2 linked regions of the Elephas maximus indicus genome follow. The protein of the gene in region 1 purifies or fractionates together with the protein of each later gene. This does not show direct contact. Links are inferred from orthologs where the notes say so. Each region holds a gene or a part of one and is shown on either strand. Other genes may lie near its edges.

The links.
Region 2: the proteins of WRAP73 (region 1) and SSX2IP purify together in Homo sapiens (co-immunoprecipitation; 4 studies listed by BioGRID and IntAct, counting the BioPlex papers as one, with this or other methods). This does not show direct contact. The link is inferred for Elephas maximus indicus from reciprocal best matches to the Homo sapiens genes WRAP73 and SSX2IP.

What each region holds. Positions count from the first base shown.
Region 1 is NC_064821.1:42,309,443-42,318,192, reverse strand, and holds the start of WRAP73 (WD repeat-containing protein WRAP73), read left to right. Parts: upstream 1-5,314; 5' UTR 5,315-5,558; coding exon 5,559-5,627; intron 5,628-8,750.
Region 2 is NC_064821.1:134,037,218-134,045,567, reverse strand, and holds the start of SSX2IP (afadin- and alpha-actinin-binding protein), read left to right. Parts: upstream 1-4,523; 5' UTR 4,524-4,673; exon of another isoform or gene 4,674-4,899; intron 4,900-8,350. UniProt on the Homo sapiens protein: Belongs to an adhesion system, which plays a role in the organization of homotypic, interneuronal and heterotypic cell-cell adherens junctions (AJs).

The sequences.
Region 1 (8,750 bases):
TAACGAGTGCAAACATTTCTCAAGTGGCCCCCCCCAAAAACCTAAACTTATTTCCATTGAGTGGATTCCAGCTCAGGGCAACTCCATGTGTAACAGAGTAGGACTGTTCCATGGGGCTTTCTTGGCTGCAATCGTAATGGAAGCAGATCACCAGGGCTTTTCCTCCGTGGCACTGCTTGGTGGGTTCGAACCACCAACCTTCAGGTTAGTATTTGAACACAAACTGTTTGTGCCGTCCAGGAACTCAAATGCCCAGTTATTTAATAAACAGATCATACTACATTAGAAACCAAAATGACCCCTGGTCAGAAGTTAACTAGGCACTGTTTCCCCAAGACCCTTGCTGGTTGAGGAAGATCTACCTATCATGAATCTATTTATGTTGACATGTGCATACTGTGGGTGCATATCTGCTTAATGGCCAGACAAAAATACAAGCTGAGTAAGAAGGTAAGAATAGCTCCCAAGGAGTTTAAATGCTAAAAGGAAAGTCATAGCAGGACCAGGAGGGAAAGGAGTGGGGACCCAGGAGCTGTCTGTCTCCAGGCTGGCCAGGAGGCTAAATCTGTCCCCTCCTTCCTCCACCTGGCCTCCATCTCCATTAACAGGCTCTGGAGACCAGACTCTAGACCAGGCCGGGCAACCCCTGCCAAACCCAGCGTCGCGGGGGCGATGCCTTTGGAAACTGTAGCAACTTCCATAGCAAATGGCTCCATCGCTCCACGGGTCCAGCCTAGAGGTCAAAGCCCCTGTCCGCTCTCTACCTCCAGAGGAGGACCTAGGTCCCACTTGGCTTCCCGCGGGGGGGTGGGTGGGGGGGAAGCGCACGGCTCCAGATTGGCACAGCCCTCGTGGGGCTCAGGGAGTGGGCGCCGGGCCGCGAGGAGTTTGTTGGTGACACGCTCGGTTCCGAACTTCCAATCCCACCGGCACCCCCTGACTTGGCCTCTGCCGGGTATTGCATCCCGAACCGTCCCTCGGAGGCTGGAGCAGAAAAGGCTGACAGGAGGGCTGCTCCTGCCCTAAGGGCTGCTACCGGCGCTGACGGCAGACCTGCATCTATCACCTCGCGGGCTCGACTCAGGCCCGCTCCCGGGCCCGGCTCCCGGTAGCTGGGGCCGGTCAGACTCTGGAGGGCCCCGTGTCATCCACTCCCCAGCTCGCGTCCGGTCTCCCGGTGCCCCATCCACGGCTGAGAAGCCTCAGCCCCAGCGGCCACCCTGCATTCCCGCGGGGCAGGTGGAGCACTCCCGTATCCCGGCTCGCGGCCCCGCGCTGCCTACCTGGTGCGGTCGGAGCCCGGGCCTTGGCGCCGAGTGGCCTGGCGCTGGCCGGGCTTCAGCTCCCGCCTTAACGCCGGCCGGCGGGCGGGAAGCTCGGGAGCGAGCGGCGGGCACGCGCTGGCGGACGGGAGGCAGAATGGCGGGCGCGCGGGTTATATCGGCGCGGCGAGGGGGCGCGGGCGGGGCGGCACGGCCTTAGCGCTGTTCGAGCCTGCGGGCGGGAAGGCGGCGCGGGCTCGGCCGCGCGGGAGGCGGGACAGGGCGGCGGCGGGTCCCCGGCCGAGGCTGTCTCCTCGCGCTCCGCCCTCGCAGCTGGCCTTTGCAGAGCGGGATCCGGCCTCAGGGGCGCCTCCTTCCCGCCCGTGTCTGGCGCGCACCGCCCAGCCGAGACTCAGCGGGGTCGTCTGCGCAAGTTGGACCTAGGTCGGGGCCTCCCTTAGGCTGGCCTGGGCGCGCGCGGGTGCCGTGGTGGGGCATAGACGCCGGCTCCGCGCCCTGACGCCCCAATAATCCTTCCTGGCCACCACTTGCGCCGACGCCCGAGCCTCCCGCACCGTCCCGACGGTCTTACTCCCGCCCCAGGCTCCCGGCCCCGCGGCGCGCAGGGAGTCTGGAAGGGAAGTGGGGGGAGGAGTGTCGTCCTTCGCCCCCAGCGCAGGATAGTGGCACCTCTGCCGGAGTCCGCACCGGGCACGCACGCGGCTCCGCCCGGCCCGGGGTGCGAGGCTGGGTCCCGGGGCCAGATGGGAGGCAAAGGAGAAGCTTGTGTCTGGGGGCACTAGCGGCCCTTGTTGGCTAAAGACTGCCACCACCCACTACAGCGCGCCGAGGTCACTCCGTTCCCTGGCCCTGCCGGGCATTGCGGATCCTGGGGGCTCTCGGTCGCGGCTCTCCCAGCCCCAGCCCGCGCGCTCTTCCCGGGCTAGGTTGAGCCACCAGAGAGTAGCCTCCCGCACCTTGCTCCCTCCCCAGGCCACCGCTTCCAGGCTTGGGAGGCTGGATTCTGCTCTGGGTTTGTGCGGCTGGGCGCGGGTGACCACGGCCCCATGTCCCCGTGCACTCGGAACGGACCCACCTTACGTGAGGCCGGGGAGCCCCTACGGCCGCCTACACTTGCGGCTCAGCTAGCGGGGCAGCGCCCCAGGGCAGGTGGGAGCTACCAAGGCCCCCGTCTTGATAAGCCTGGCCTGGGGAGGCACCCAAACACGCAGGACCAGTTCTGATCAGCTCTCGGCGGCGGAAATCCTGCGGTGCGCTGCCCTCTGGAACTTTTGGGCCCTGTTAGCGGGCTCCGAGCCTATGCCCCAGCCTGAGGTGACCGCCGCGCCCTGAAAGGTTGTGTCAATACCTCCCGTGACGTCTCGCGCGATCCCGGCTGGTGCAGACCTGGTTCTCCCGACGCTCCGGACGCCGCACCTCACCTGCCTGTCACGCCGATTTGGGCAGCTTCCGCACACCTTTATCGTGTACCTGCTTTACAGTTTGCTAGGCGCAGGGGGTGGGCCACAAAGACGGATCGCGCACCGGGATTTGGATCTGGTTGGGGACAGAAAAGGCCAGCAACGCCGAACAAGACCCACGCATCTAATCCCCCCATCCGTTCGTTAGGCGATGGTTGCGGGCTGTCCAAGGGGGAGGGGCAAGCCTGCGGCTAGGCCTGATGTGGACTACATCCAGATCTCGGTTCTCCCCGACTCAGGGTCGAGTGATGGGTGTTAGGGTCCGCGCGACCTGGTGGGCCGCGGAGGCGCCGTGGGAGCCCAGAGACTAACCTCCCGCGTGGGTGAGGGTGTGGGGGAGGATGGCTGCTCCGAGGAGTGCCCTCTTGGTGAAAGAGGGTCGGAGTTTCCGAGTGGGCCAGAGGACAAAGCAGCCCCGGGGAGCGAGGGCAAAGCTGGTGAAGCCAGGCTCTGGACCAAGTGTTCATTTCCCACCCGCGTAGAGAGAGGGCTGCGCGCGATCCGCAGGCGCGCTCTGCGGTGTCAGGGTGGAATTTGTTCCCTTCGAGATCCGAATAGGAGCAGAGTGTGAGATGAGGGTGACCCTGAAGATACGGTTTTGGCTAGATTCAGTCAAAAATAAATAGCACCTATTTATTATATATTACATACATAATAAACGTTGTTAGGTGCCGCCCAGTTGGTTCCGACTCATATCTGCCCTATGTATACAACAGAACTGAAACCCTGCCCCGTCCAGCCCCATCCTGGAAATCGTTGCAGCCACCCTGTCAATCCATCTTCTTCAGGGCCTTCCTCTTTTTCGCTGACCCTCTACCACGCATAAAGTCTCTCTCCAGGGACCGGTCTCTCCTGATAACATGTGCAAAGTATGTGAGACAAGTCTAGCCATCCTCACTTCTAAGGAGCATTGGCTGTACTTCTTCCAAGATAGATTGTTCGTTTTTCTGGCAGTCCATAGTATATTCAATATTCTTCCCCAACACCATCATTTCGAATGCATAAATTCTTCCATCTTCCTTATTCATTGTCCAGTTTTTACATGCATAGGAAGCAATTGAAAATACTGTGGCTTGGGTCAGGCGCGCATTAGTTCTTAAAGTGACATCTTTGTTTTTTCTAACGTTTTAAAGAGATCTTTTGCACCTGACTTGTGCAGTGCAATGTTTCCTTTGATTTCTTGACTGCTGCTTCCATGGGCCTTGATTGCAGACCCAAGAAAAATGAAATCCTTAACAACTTCAGTCTTTTCTCTGTTTATCATGATGTTGCTTATTGGTCCAGTTCTGAGGATTTTTGTTTTCTTTATGTTGAGGTGTAACCCATGCTGAAGGCTTTAGTCTTTGGTCTTCATCAGTAAGTGCTTCAAGTCTTCTTTGTTTTCAGCAAGCAGGGTTGTATCATCTGCATAGAACAGGTTGTTAATGAGTTTTCCTCCAATCTTGATGCTGTGTTCTTCTCATATAGTCCAGTTTCTTGGATTATTTGCTCAGCATACAGATTAAATAAATATGATGAAATGATACATCACTGACACCTTCCCTAATTTTAAAGCATTCAGTATCTCTTTGTTCTGTTCCAACAACTGCCTTTTGGTCTATGTACACAAGTTCCTTGTGAACACAATGAAGTGTCTGGAATTCGCCTTCTTCACAATGTTATCCATAATTTATTATGATCCACACAGACAACTGCCTCTGCATAGTCAATAAAACACAGGTAAACATCTTTCTGGTTCTCTGCTTTCAGCCAATATCCATCTGACATCAGCAATGATATTCCTAGTCTTCTTCTGAATCCAGCTTGAATTTCTGGTAGTTCCCTGTCAGTGAACTGCTGCAACGTAATAAATATATTACCATGCTTGGTGAAGTAGAGGGTCAGCAAAAAAGGAGGAAGACCCTCAACAGGATGGATTGTGGCAGTGGCTGCAACAACGGGTTCAAACACAACACTCACTTGATGGCAAGGAGCTTGGGTATACTTATATGCACATGTATATGCAGGACAGCCAGTTAAATATGAATTTCAGATAAATGAGTAATTCTCCCATGCAATATTTTGGAACATACTTATACTATAAAATTATTCTTTGTTTACTTGAAATTCAGTCTAACTGGGAGTCCTGCATTTTATCTGCCATTCCCAGCTGTAGAGGACGCCCTGAGACCACCATCCCTTGGGGTAAGCAAACCAAACCAACCCTGTTGCCGTGCAGTCAATGCCGACTCACAGCAACCCTATAGGACAGAGTAGAACCGCGCCATACAGTTTCCAAGGAGTGCCCAGTGGATTCGAACTGCTGACCTCTTGGTTAGCAGCTGTAGCACGTAACCACTAGGCCACCAAGGTGTCCTCCTTTGGGGTAAACCCAAACCAATCAACCCATTGCTGTCGAGTCGATTGCCGTCGAGTCGATGGTAGGGCTCGGAAATTCCGGGCGGGGAGAAGTGTGGACTGGCTCCTTTAAGGCGCAGCGCGCGGAGCTGCAGTGAACTATAAGTCCCACAATGCCGTGCGGCCATCCGGGGCCCTGATAGGCTGTGCTCGCTTCCCGCCTTCCCCGGGTTTCCGGCTGTGGAGTCCGGCGGGCCGCGGTTGGGAACCGCAGCGGCTACGGTGGGCGGCCTGGCGGAGGCTGACCCTGAGAGTCAGACCCGGACCTGGGCGGGCCGGCGGGCTTCCTGGCTTGCGGGTGCGGGTCCAGCCTGGGCACGGCCTCGGTCCGCCGGCCTCTCTCCAGCAGAGGCGGCCTCGTCGCCGGGGGCTGCTGAGGCGGGACCCCGGCCCTTGGGCCCTCGGGGCGGCGGCTGCCATGAACTTTTCCGAGGTCTTTAAGCTGTCCGGCCTGCTCAGCAAGTTCTCCCCGGACGGAAAGTACCTGGTGAGAGCCAGGGCCCCTTGCCCGGGAGGTCCGTCCAGGGCAACGCCAAAATGGGCGCTAAGGGGTGAGGGGGAGGTGGGGCGCGATGGCGGGCGCCACTCTCAACTGTTGTGACTTGCTGGGGCGGCGCCGTTGGCCGGGGTGGAGGTAGACTCTGGGCTCTGAATGCGGATCGAGCCCGGCGCCCCCCACCTGCTTCGTGAAAGGCGGGGAGAAGCGGTGCCTGCCTCGGGGGGACTTTGCTGGGGGCTGGCGGCCAGTGTAGCGTGTAGGGCAGTAGCACGTTGCTAGTTTGTCAGAGAAAGGCAAATGCATACTAACTGCGTTGGCTTGTAAGCTGGTAAGTGGTGCGGCTACTTTCTGTTGTCTTTTCCAATAATTTAAACTATTACCATTCTATCCTAGAAGCTCTGCTTAAGCGCGGAGCTGCTAATAGATTGGCAGTCGGAACTAGGGCTTTGAACTAGTTCTGCCCGAGTTATTTAAATTATTATTAAATTATTAAAATTGAGGTGAAGCGGAACCCTAGGATTAAAAAAAAAAAAAAAAAAAAAAAGGATAGAACAGAAGAAATTACAGGTCGAGGCCCTGGAATGGGACTCAGAAGAGGCGAAGTGACCCCTTTCAGGAGACTGGTGTGTGAGATTGGATGATTGGTAGAATTGTGGAGTTGGACCCACCTTCAGAGTGGCACCTCGCTGCCGTCTTGCAGCAGCCTGCCATCTGCTGTTTCTTGGACTCTGCAGGGCTATGCAGGTTTGGTTGCTATGCAATGCTAGGTTGCCCTTGTTTTCTAAGAGAGAGATTGAAGTTTCTAGCAGGGCTTCACCCATAACCTTTCCCGTTCTGCTTCACCCACATTTAAAAAATCCAGGTCCTTTTGGGTTTCCCTTCCGTGGTTGGCCATGACTGAACTGGGGAGAACAGGTTCGAAGATCTGGTTCAAACACGTACAGTGGTTCTGCAGGAGAAAGACCTGGCTAAAAAAAAAAAAAAAAGATTGCATCCTAGGAAACCTTATGGAGCACTTCTACACTGTGACACGGGGTCGCTGCGAGTCAGAAATCCACTAGATGGCAAGTAAGGACAATAACAAAAGCCTTCTATCCCTAGATGAAAATAGTTGTCAGAGATGTTCATTCTGTGGGTGCTTAAATCATCAAGCTTTTCTGAACATGAAACTTAACGTTGCAAAATGTGCCATTTTGACTGCTGTGTATCTTCAGGGTCATGGGAGGGCGGTGTAATTGTCATTGAAAAGCCATTAAGAAAAAAAATGCCTTTTAGACCATTTATTTAGCTTCATTTACACCATTCTCTATTAATAGACAGTGGTTCACGACTCTACGTTTGAGCCTTGATTAACGTTCCTATTGCTCTGGTCTAGGTCTTTGAGAATGTAACTCTCAAGTTGCGTATTTACCTTCATTGTAGAGGTATTGTAAATTATATAAAATGGCATTCAGCTACAAAATAAAAAACGTAATTGGCTTAAAGGACACCACAGAAACCTTGATATATTTTTCAAAGTGCCCACCTATAAATTCGTTTCTTTTTAAATACCATTTATGGAAATTCCAATAAATTATAAAGTGACAGGTGATGCTTGCGTGCTTAAATTTGGCACTTTTTTCGCTTTTACACCCTGATCAAAAACTGGATAATAATCTGATACTAGAATCATGTTCTTGAAAGCTCTGGCCTAAATACGAGATAAAGCATTGTTGTTGGGTGCTGTCAAGTTGGTTCTGACTCGTAGCAGCCCTGTGCACAACAGAATGAAACACTGCCTGATCCTGCGCCATCCTCACAATCGTTGTTATGCTTGAGCCCGTCATTGCAGCCACCATGTCAATCCATCTTGTTGAGGGTCTTCCTCTTTTTTGCTCACCCTCTACTTTACCAAGCATGACGTCCTTCTCCAGGGACTGATCCTTCCTGATAACATGTCCAAAGTATGTGAGACGAGGTCTCGCCATCCTTACTTCTAAGGAGCATTCACATTGTACTTCCTCCAAGACAGATTTGTTCATTCTTTTGGCAGTCCATGGTATATTTAATAATCTTCGTCAACACCATAATTCAAAGGCATCAATTCTTCTTTCTTCCTTATTCACTGCCCAGCTTTTGCATATATATGAGACGATTGAAAACACCATGGCTTGGGTAAGGCATACCTTAGTCTTCAAGGTGATAGCTTTATTTTTTAACACTTTAAAGAGGTCTCTTGCAGCAGATTTACCCAATATGATGCATCGTTTGATTTCTCGACTGCTGCTTCCGTGGTTATTGATTGAGGAGCCAAGTAAATGAAGCCCTTGACAACTTCAGTTTTTTCTCCCTTTGTCATGATGTTGCTTATTGGTCCAGTTGTGAGGATTTTTGTTTCCTTTATGTTGAGGTGTAATCCATACTGGAGGCTGTAGTCAAGTGCTTGAAGTCCCCTTGTATGTCAGCAAGCAAGGTTTTGCTGAAATCTTTAATCCACATGGTACCTCCTTCTTCTATTTGAATGACTGCGTCTTGATCTATGTGTGGGTTCCTCATGAGCACCATTAAGTGTTCTGGAATTCCTGTTCTTTCTAGTGTGATCCATAATTCGTTATGGTCCATACAGTCGAATGACTTTGCATAGTTAATAAAACATGGGTAAACATCTTTCTGGTTGTTCTCTGCTTTCAGCCAGGATCCATCTGACATCAGCAATGATATTCCTCATTCCACGTCCTCTTCTGAATCTGACTTGAATTTCTGGCAGTTCCCTGTTGATGTACTGCTGCAACTGCTTTTGAATGATCTTCAGCAAAATTTTACTGACATCATCGCTGATGTCAGATGGATCCTGGCTAAAAGCAGAGAATACCAGAAAGGTGTTTACCTGTGTTTTATTGTCCATGCAAAGGCATTTGACTATGTGGATCATAGCAAATTATGGATAACATTGGGAAGAATGGGAATTGCAGCACACTTGACTTTGCTTGTGAGGAACCTATACATAGATCAAGAGGCAGTTGTTCGAGCAGAACAAGGGGATGCTGGGTGGATTAAAGTCAGGAAAGGTATGTATCAGGGTTGTATCCTTTCACCATACTTATTGAGCTTGTTAAAAAAAAAAAAAACTGT
Region 2 (8,350 bases), about 92 Mb from region 1:
GTACAAGGGAGGGGATGGGGATGGAAAAACACTAAATAGACAATAGATAACTGGTAACTCTGGTGAAGGACAAGACAGTACACAATACTGGGGAAGCCAACACAACCTGTCCAAGGCAAGGTCATGGAAGCTCCATTAAAAAAAAAAAACAAAAAACCATTGCCATCGATTCTGACTCATAGCAACCCTATAAGACAGAGTAGAACTGCCCCACAGGGTTTCCAAGGAGCGCCTGGTGGATTCCAACTGCCGACCTTTTGGTTAGCAGCCATAGCTCTTAACCACTACACCACCAGGGTTTCCAGGAAGCTCCATAGATACATTCAAACTCCCTGAGTGATCAGATTACTGGGCTGAGGGCTGTGGGGACCATGGTCTCGAGGAACATCTAGCTAAAGTGGCATAGCATAGTTTGTAAAGAAAATGTTCTTACATTCCACTTTAGAGAGTAGCGTCTGGGGTCTTAAAGCTTGTGAGCAGCCATCTAAAATACTCCACGGGTCCCAGCCTGTCCAGAGCAGAGGAGAATGAAGAAAACCAAAGACATAAGGGAAAGATTAGTCCAAATGATTGATGGACCACAAGTACCACAGGCTCCATCAGACTGAGTCCAGCACAACTAGGTGGTGCCTGGCTACCACCATTGACTGCTCTGACAGGGATCACAATAGAGGATCCTGGGGAGAGCTGCAGAAAAATGTAGAACAAAATTCTAACTCACACACACACACAAAAAGATCAGACTTACTGGTATGAGACTGAAGAAACCCTGAGAGCATGGCCCCCGGACACTCTTTTAGCTCAGCACTGAAGTCACTCCTGATGTTCACCCTTCAGCCAAAGATTAGACAGGCCCATAAAACAAAATGAGTCTAAAGGGACATAACAGCCCAGGGGCAAGGACTAGGAGGCAGGAGGGGACAGGAAAGCTAATAAGGGACCCAAGTTCGAGAAGGGGAGAGTGTTGAGATGCTGTGAGGTTGCTAACCAATGTCACATATGTGTACTAATTGTTTAATGAGAAGCTAGTTTGTCCTGTAAAACTTCATTTAAAGTACAATAAAAAAAAATAAAAATAATATAAAATTACTGTTATGGATTAAATTGTGTCCCCTCAAAAATACGTGTGGTAAATCCTAACCTCTATAAAAAAAAAACAAAAAACACCTCTATACCAGTGGTTATAATCCCATTTGAGAACTGGTTGTCTTTGTTACGTTAATGAGGCAGGATTAGTGTAGGGTATGTTTTGTGCCAATCTCTTAAAAACATAAAAGGATTAAGATCAAGGAAAGAGAGATGGGGGAAAAAGGGATGTCAAGCCACACGTAGATCACCCAGGAGCAGAAGTTCAAAGAGACAAAGACCTTCCTCCAGAGCCCAGAGAGACACAAAGGCTTCCCCTAGAGCTGGCATTCTGAATTCAGACTTCTAGCCTCCTAAATTGTGAGAAACTAAATTTCTGTTTGTTAAAGCCACCTATTTATGGTATTTGTTACAGGCACGCTACATAACTAAGAGTTACGTTGCACACTGTGATATGATGAGAATAGACTTTAGAGGAGCAAGGCTGGAAGTTTTCATGTGTTTTGAAAAAAACAACACTTCATAGCCACACCTTCCTACTTTTGCTAAAAGTGAGGAAAGCAGCAAAAGAAGGCATTTGTTTCTAGATTGTATCTTGCCCCTTTATCTTTCCTTACCACAGCAAAGTTCTATCAAGTCGAGTTTCTTTTAGTCCAAAGCGTCTTTTGACTATTTTCAGGCCACAGCAAAATTATTTCTTATCCTTTGGTATTATAATAAAATCCACTCTATCAGTCAGGATCTTCGTGGCTGCAAGTAACTGTATGACCCAAAGCGGCTTAAGCAATAGATCATTTACTCTCTCACATAATGAGCAGTCTGGAGGTATGCAGACAAGGGTACTTTATTCAGCCATCCAGTGATGTCTGGGGTCTTGGTTGCCTTTTGTTTTTCCTGTTTTCCTCTCATCCTTGCAGGATGCCTTCATAGCTCCAAACCTCCTGCTCAATGGAGACTAGGCAAGGCCAAGAACTAAGTGAAAGACTTCACTTTATGGCTCTCAGGGATAATACCCTTTTCCTGAATCTCCCCACCCTCACTTCTCACTCCCCATTATGTACTGACCACAACTGAGTCACATGCTCAGCTCCTAAACCTAAACCAAAAAAAATTTTTTTTCAAATAGAGAGAGACAAAGTATCAAGACAGGTTTAGATTAGTGGTTCTCAAAGCGTGGTTTAAGGAACCATGGGGGGTCCCCAAAACATTTTCAGGGAGTCTGTGAGGTCAAAACTAGTTTTCTTACAATACCAAAAAAAAAAAAAGTTGCCATGGAGTCGATTCCGACTCACGGCAACTTCCTGTGTGTTGGACTAGACCTGTGCTCCAGAAGGTTTTCAATGGCTCATTTTTTGGAAGTAGATCACGAGGCCTTTCTTCCCAGGTGCCCCTGGGTGGACTCAAACCATTAACCTTTTGGTTGGCAGCTGAGTATTTATGAATACACTAAGACATTATTTGCCGTTCTTATTCTCATTCTCTCCGGAGTGTACAGCAGAGTTTTCCAGAGGCTACCTGAAATAATGCCATGGAGTGCATGTGGGAGCAGATGAGAATCCAGATGCGTTCTATTTAGCCAGGCATTAAAGATATTTGCAAATATTTAAATACTACTCTCATTACTAATTTTTTTGGAAAAGTTATTTTTAATAAAATTTGCTATTTGTTAGTAAGTTTGTTACTCTCGTTATTTTAAATATTGTAAAATTTCTCAGTTGTAATTTCAGTAGCTATATCCCACATAAGCAAAAGTTCTTCGGAGGTCCTCAATAATTTTAAGGGATACTGAAACCAAAAGTTTGAGAACCCCTGGTTTATTCAGACAGATCTTCATCCCTAGGGCTGGGAGGAAGCTAATCTTTCTGGGGTTCACCTGAACTGCCCCAAACCTTCTTAAAATCTGACTCTGTTAGTGGGTAAGTCACAAAGCAGGTGTGTGTGTCAGATGCTGCTTATTGAATTAATAGATCTCAATTCTTCTAGCTAGGGAGATCTTGACTGAAGCCCCTGGGAGGTGAAATGGTCAAAATGAAACCTTAAGTGCTATTTCAAAGATGGGAAAGGGGTGGGTTCTTCTGGGGTGGACAGTTGAAATTGCAAAACTCTTCTTGGGAGCAGAGGTAACCCCTCCCTCCCATCAGTGCTCTAGGTTAAGGAGCAAGGTAATAATTTTCTCTCCGCTCGCCCTCCCCACAAGCTCTGTGTAAACCGTCCTTAAGAGTAATGAACTCTCCACCGGCTAATCTGCTATCATTCACAACGCTCAACATCATCTACCCTAGCTGCCTGATCGCTTAGGTCAAAGGCAAAGAGGATTTCTTTGGGCCTTGAAGTTGTCACCGAGGTGTGCTCGTCTCTTGCCTTGCCCTTTCCTCCAGGATTAGGGATATGCAGATACCCTCTTCTAGCCTCAGTTCTTTCGTGTTTCTTGTTCTTGTCTTATACTATTTTGGTTTCAAAGTGCTCTCAAGAGCCTCCTTAAAATACAAAACCTATTTTTTCCCCTCTAGATAAAAACCTTTTGGTTTCACTAAAAAAAAAAAAAATCCATAGAAGTGTATCTTTGTATTTTTTACTCAACCTCTTATGCCTGCGATTTCCCCATGTGATCTCTTCTTTCTCCTGCCTTTTTCCTTCCCTGGAGAATTTTAGGCTCCATCGACTCGACGGCAGTGGGTTTGGTTTTTTTTTATGGAACGGAGGAGGGGCCGACTCGACTCTGCCAACGAGCGCAGCAGTCATATATTTTCTTTGCACATATTTTGCTGAGTGGGTGGGACGTTTTGCATAAACTTCTAGTTCAAGAGTGCCATTTCTTACATTCTTCTCTTTGCGCGCTGTCTTCCGCTTTGGTCAATTTCTTGGGCCTAATTTTACACATAACTTTCTCGCTTTTAGGTTGTTTGCATCCATGATTCCCGACGCTTAAACCTTCCTTCCCTTGGGCCGGACCTAATTTTGGGTGCCGGCTGTTGTTTGGTTTAGTTTTTCACTTTTGCAAACTCACGTGGCGCTTCTGGAAGCTTGCATTTTTGCTTCTAGGATGGGTGCTGGGGTTCACTCGGGCTCCGAAAGCGTGCTTTCAAGCAGCCACGGCCTCTTCCCCCACAGAGCCCCTGGCCCCGAGCTGGGGGCGGGGAACAGGGACGGCCGGGTGAATCCCAGGGCGTAACAGGTGCCGCAGCCGCAGCTGCGCCCGCATCCTGCGCCGGCTCTAGGGATAAGGTTTTCTTTTTCTCTGGGTTTTTTTGGAGGTGGGGAGGAGACTCCGGAGGCCCCCACCGGACCAATGCAAGCCGCGGTTGTTCATCGCCTAGCAACTGGCGGAGCCAATGGGAGGCAGCTCGGCCTGCGGCGACGGCGGCAAGGGGGCGGGGTGGGAACCTTGCAAACCTGCCGAGGCCGGGAGGCGGCCGCGAGGGGCGGAGCGGAGCGGCCCAGGGGCGGGGAAGGCGGGAGCCCGAGGCGGAGGAGGGGCGCCAGCCCAAGGCGGTGCGTCCCGAGGCGGCTGTTCTGGCCCTCGGGGCTGTGGGAGCCGGCCTAGGACGCCGAGCGGCGACTCCCCGCCGCTCCCGGGGGCCGTGACGGTGAGCAGCCTATGGCCTCTGCTCCGCGGCGGGGATTGTGACGCGCCGGCCCGAAAAGGGGCGGGCGGCGCCGGCGGGGCGGGGGGCGGGCGGGTGCGGCGCGGAGGTGAGAGCCGGCACCTGGCTCGGCGCCCCGCGGCTCCGCGAGAGGCTCCGTGCGGCCGTTGGTGCCGTTGGAGGGTGCGAGTGAGCGTTGCCCAGCCGCGCCTGGCGGAGGAGGTGGGAGGTAGGTAGCGGCTCCCGCTGGTGATCGCAGCGCTGCGCTCTCAGGAGGGCTCCGGCCCGGGGCGCGGCCAGGGAGTCCAAAACCCTCTCCGAGATGGAAAAAGGGTGGCGCCTGGAGTGGGATGACGAACGGCGCGGAGACGTGGGGGGAGGAGGGGATGGTTGATTTGGGGCTACAGTGCCTGCTTACTAGAGGCTGTGGGCAATGCGGGGCTAGGGATTTGTTAATGGGAGCCGCAGTAGGCAGTCGTTAAAGTGAGTTACTGGATGGTCCGTGGCTATTGCAGGGGAAGAGAACCCCGAACCCTGATAATGGTCTACTTAAAAGTCTGGGGGAAGAACTTACATCATCTGTCTGCAGGCATGGGGGAAAACATTTTGATGTAGAATTTTGTAGTAAAGTACAGTAAACCGGATTGTAAGCTCTCTGCACCTTTTTGAGCCTAGCTTATCGCTCGGTTATGCAAGTCACTTGGGCCCAAGAAATGGAATCTGCTACATGATTTTGTCTCAGTGTGTGTAATAAGGGCATCTTTAGATTACTACGTTTTAAGGATTGTGAATGCTAAGGTGTAATTTCTAAGAGTGATAATACAGTTCTTGTTAAATCTGGGAAAATTGAGGTTTCCCTTTTTTGGACCCCATAACGGGTTCAGGATGAGAAGAATCGTTCCTCAAAGGGTGGTTTAGAAGTGCAAGGGTGGGGGCTTCCCAAACAATTTCGATTAGGGTCTAGGCCTGGAGTTGGCCGTGAATGATGCATGCAGTGGAGCCCTTCATGGTTCAAGAGGGATTGGTATACTGTTGAGATAGATAGAAGAAAATTTTGGCAGCTTTATAATTTGATTCCGATCTGGAAAGGAAGGTATGACTTGACACATTTAGGAAACTGAATAAAATTTGAGAAGAATTAGAGATCTGGAGAGAAAAAAAACAAATGCCTTTAGAGTTTGCTTACCAAAACCAAAAACCAATCCGGCTGCCGTTGAGTCAGTTCTGACTCATAGTGACCCTATAGAGTTAGCTTAGGCCAACCCAAACCCATCAAACCCGCTGCTGTCAGTGGATTCCAACTCACAGCTACCCTATAGGACGGAGTAGAGCTGCCCCATAGGGTTTCCAAGGCTGTAAATCTTTGGAGAAGCAGACTGCCGCATCTTTCTACCATGGAGCAGCTGGTGGATTGAAACCACTGACCTTTTGGTTAGCAGTGGAGTGCTTTAACCACTGTGCCACCAGGGCTGCAGAAGAAGTTAAGAGGTAGATTTATGAACTTGGATTCAGCCAACAAAACAGTCCATCAAATCTCTTGTGCTAGAGCAGACATAATGTACATCCTAGGAAGCTTAGGTTATTCATTCAAACTAAAATAAGAAAAGCTGGTAACTAATTTGACACTCTTCTTCCTGTTGTCTATAAGTTTCTCAAACAAAATAGTTCTTTGAGAAGAAAGTTAGAAACTGGTAGTTAAAATGAAGGCTCTTCAGTGACTTGCTGGGCATCTTGAGCCAAGTCATTTTATACCCTTCCTTCCCTTTTCTTTCCCCATCTGTACAATGAAGATAATAAAACCTGGGATTAAGTAACATGAGTAAAGCTGCTTGAAGGTAACTGCAGAGACTTAGATATTCCGGGACGAACTATGAAGATCTCTTTGTAACACGGTTGCACCTTGTGACAAGACTTGTTAAAGCACGTTATGTTCCAAACATGCTGAGGGTGTATATTAGAAAAATAGAATGTTAACTGTTCAGGTGATTTGCCAAAGGCCTCAAGGCCAGCACAAAGTCAGGATTATATACTGCGCCTTCCTAAAACCTGACAGAGCCTGCTCTTTGGCCAAAACTAGTATGACATGGGTTTTATAAAAGTAGAGAGTTGAGTACCTTCTATGTAGTATGCATCTAGGGGTAAAAGGATGAAAAAGACATTGTCCCAGAATAGCGTGGTTGGAATTCATTTCACATACTTAAAGTGGAGCAGTTCCAAAGCTTTTTGTGATTTTTTTCTGTATCTTTCACAATAGTTGTAAATTTGCCTATAAACCCGTTGCGGTCGAGTCGATTACAACTCGTAGCGAGCCCATAGGACAGAGCAGAACTGCTCCATAGAGTTTCCACGGAGCGCCTTGTGGATTCGAACTGCCGACCTTTTGGTTAGCAGCCGTAGTTCTTAACCACTACACCACCAGGGTTTCCACTGTGCCAGTAGGGTTTCCAAAATATTGGTTAGATTGTTTGCTCGTGGCACAAAAAGTTTTTTATACTCTTTGAATATGTTCTGTGGCTTTGGAGATCATGATTTGCTGGTAATGAAGGTGCAAGTTACCTTGAATTCAGGAACTTATGGAATAAGATAGAATTTAGAGAAGTGAACCATTCATTACAGCTAATGGAAAACAATCTAAAATTTTATTTTGATAGTGGGCCAGTATTACTATTTTATATAATACCAGATTTATTAAATTACACTTTACTGAGTTATTCTCAGTGAACATTTGCTGAACATGTAATTAAGCTGCTGCTTGCTAGATCTGAGGATAAAAAGATGAATGTTATCTTGTAAATTTAGGAAATTTACAGCATAATAAGGGAGAGAGCAAACATGAAAAATAGTTCAAATTCTCTTTCTTTTTCTAAAGCCTTCCCATATGGCATCCATGTCTTGACAGGGAGGAGGGGGAGTTCTTAGAGCATTTACAGTTGGAGCATTACAGGTGGTTTGGTGGTAGAGTTGGAGCAGAGTTCGATGGGCTAGTGATAAGGTTGGAGAACAGGACTGTGAACTTTGACTGGGAAGTGATAGGGAACCGTGGAAAGGTTTTATTCGGGGGAATAATAATTGATTTTTATTTTAGGTAGGAGTCTCTGGGTAGTGCAAATGATTTGCACTCGGTTACCAACTGAAAGGTTGGCAAGATGAATCCACCCAGAGGCACCCTGTAGGAAAGGCCTGGCAGTCTACTTCCAAAAGTTCATAGCTATTGAAAACCCTATGGAGCACAGTTCTCCTCTGACACTTAGAGGATTGTCATGAGTTGGAGCCAGCTGGGTGGCAATGGGTTTGTTGATAGTTTTTCTAGTTTTACTTTAGGTGAATATTTCCATCAAAATTAGTAATTGAGTGATCCAAAAGAGCCCCGAATGTAGAGAATCCAAGTAATATCTGAGAGACAGCAGCCCTACACAGGAATTAAAGACTTAAATATTTTATTGTAGCCCCCACAGATTTCGGGAGAGCAGAAATAATTATTCATATGACAAACTTTATTGAGTATCTTCTACTTTTAAAACTGAAGGAGGAGCCATAAGCTACAGCTCCATTTTCAAGCAACCTGCAATTCAGTAGGAGAAATAACACAGTTATAATGCAACGCAGAATCTTAAGTATCATTGAATGCATAAAAATGTCAAACTCTTAACAATGTAGAATTCTGAGATGAGAGAAGACAT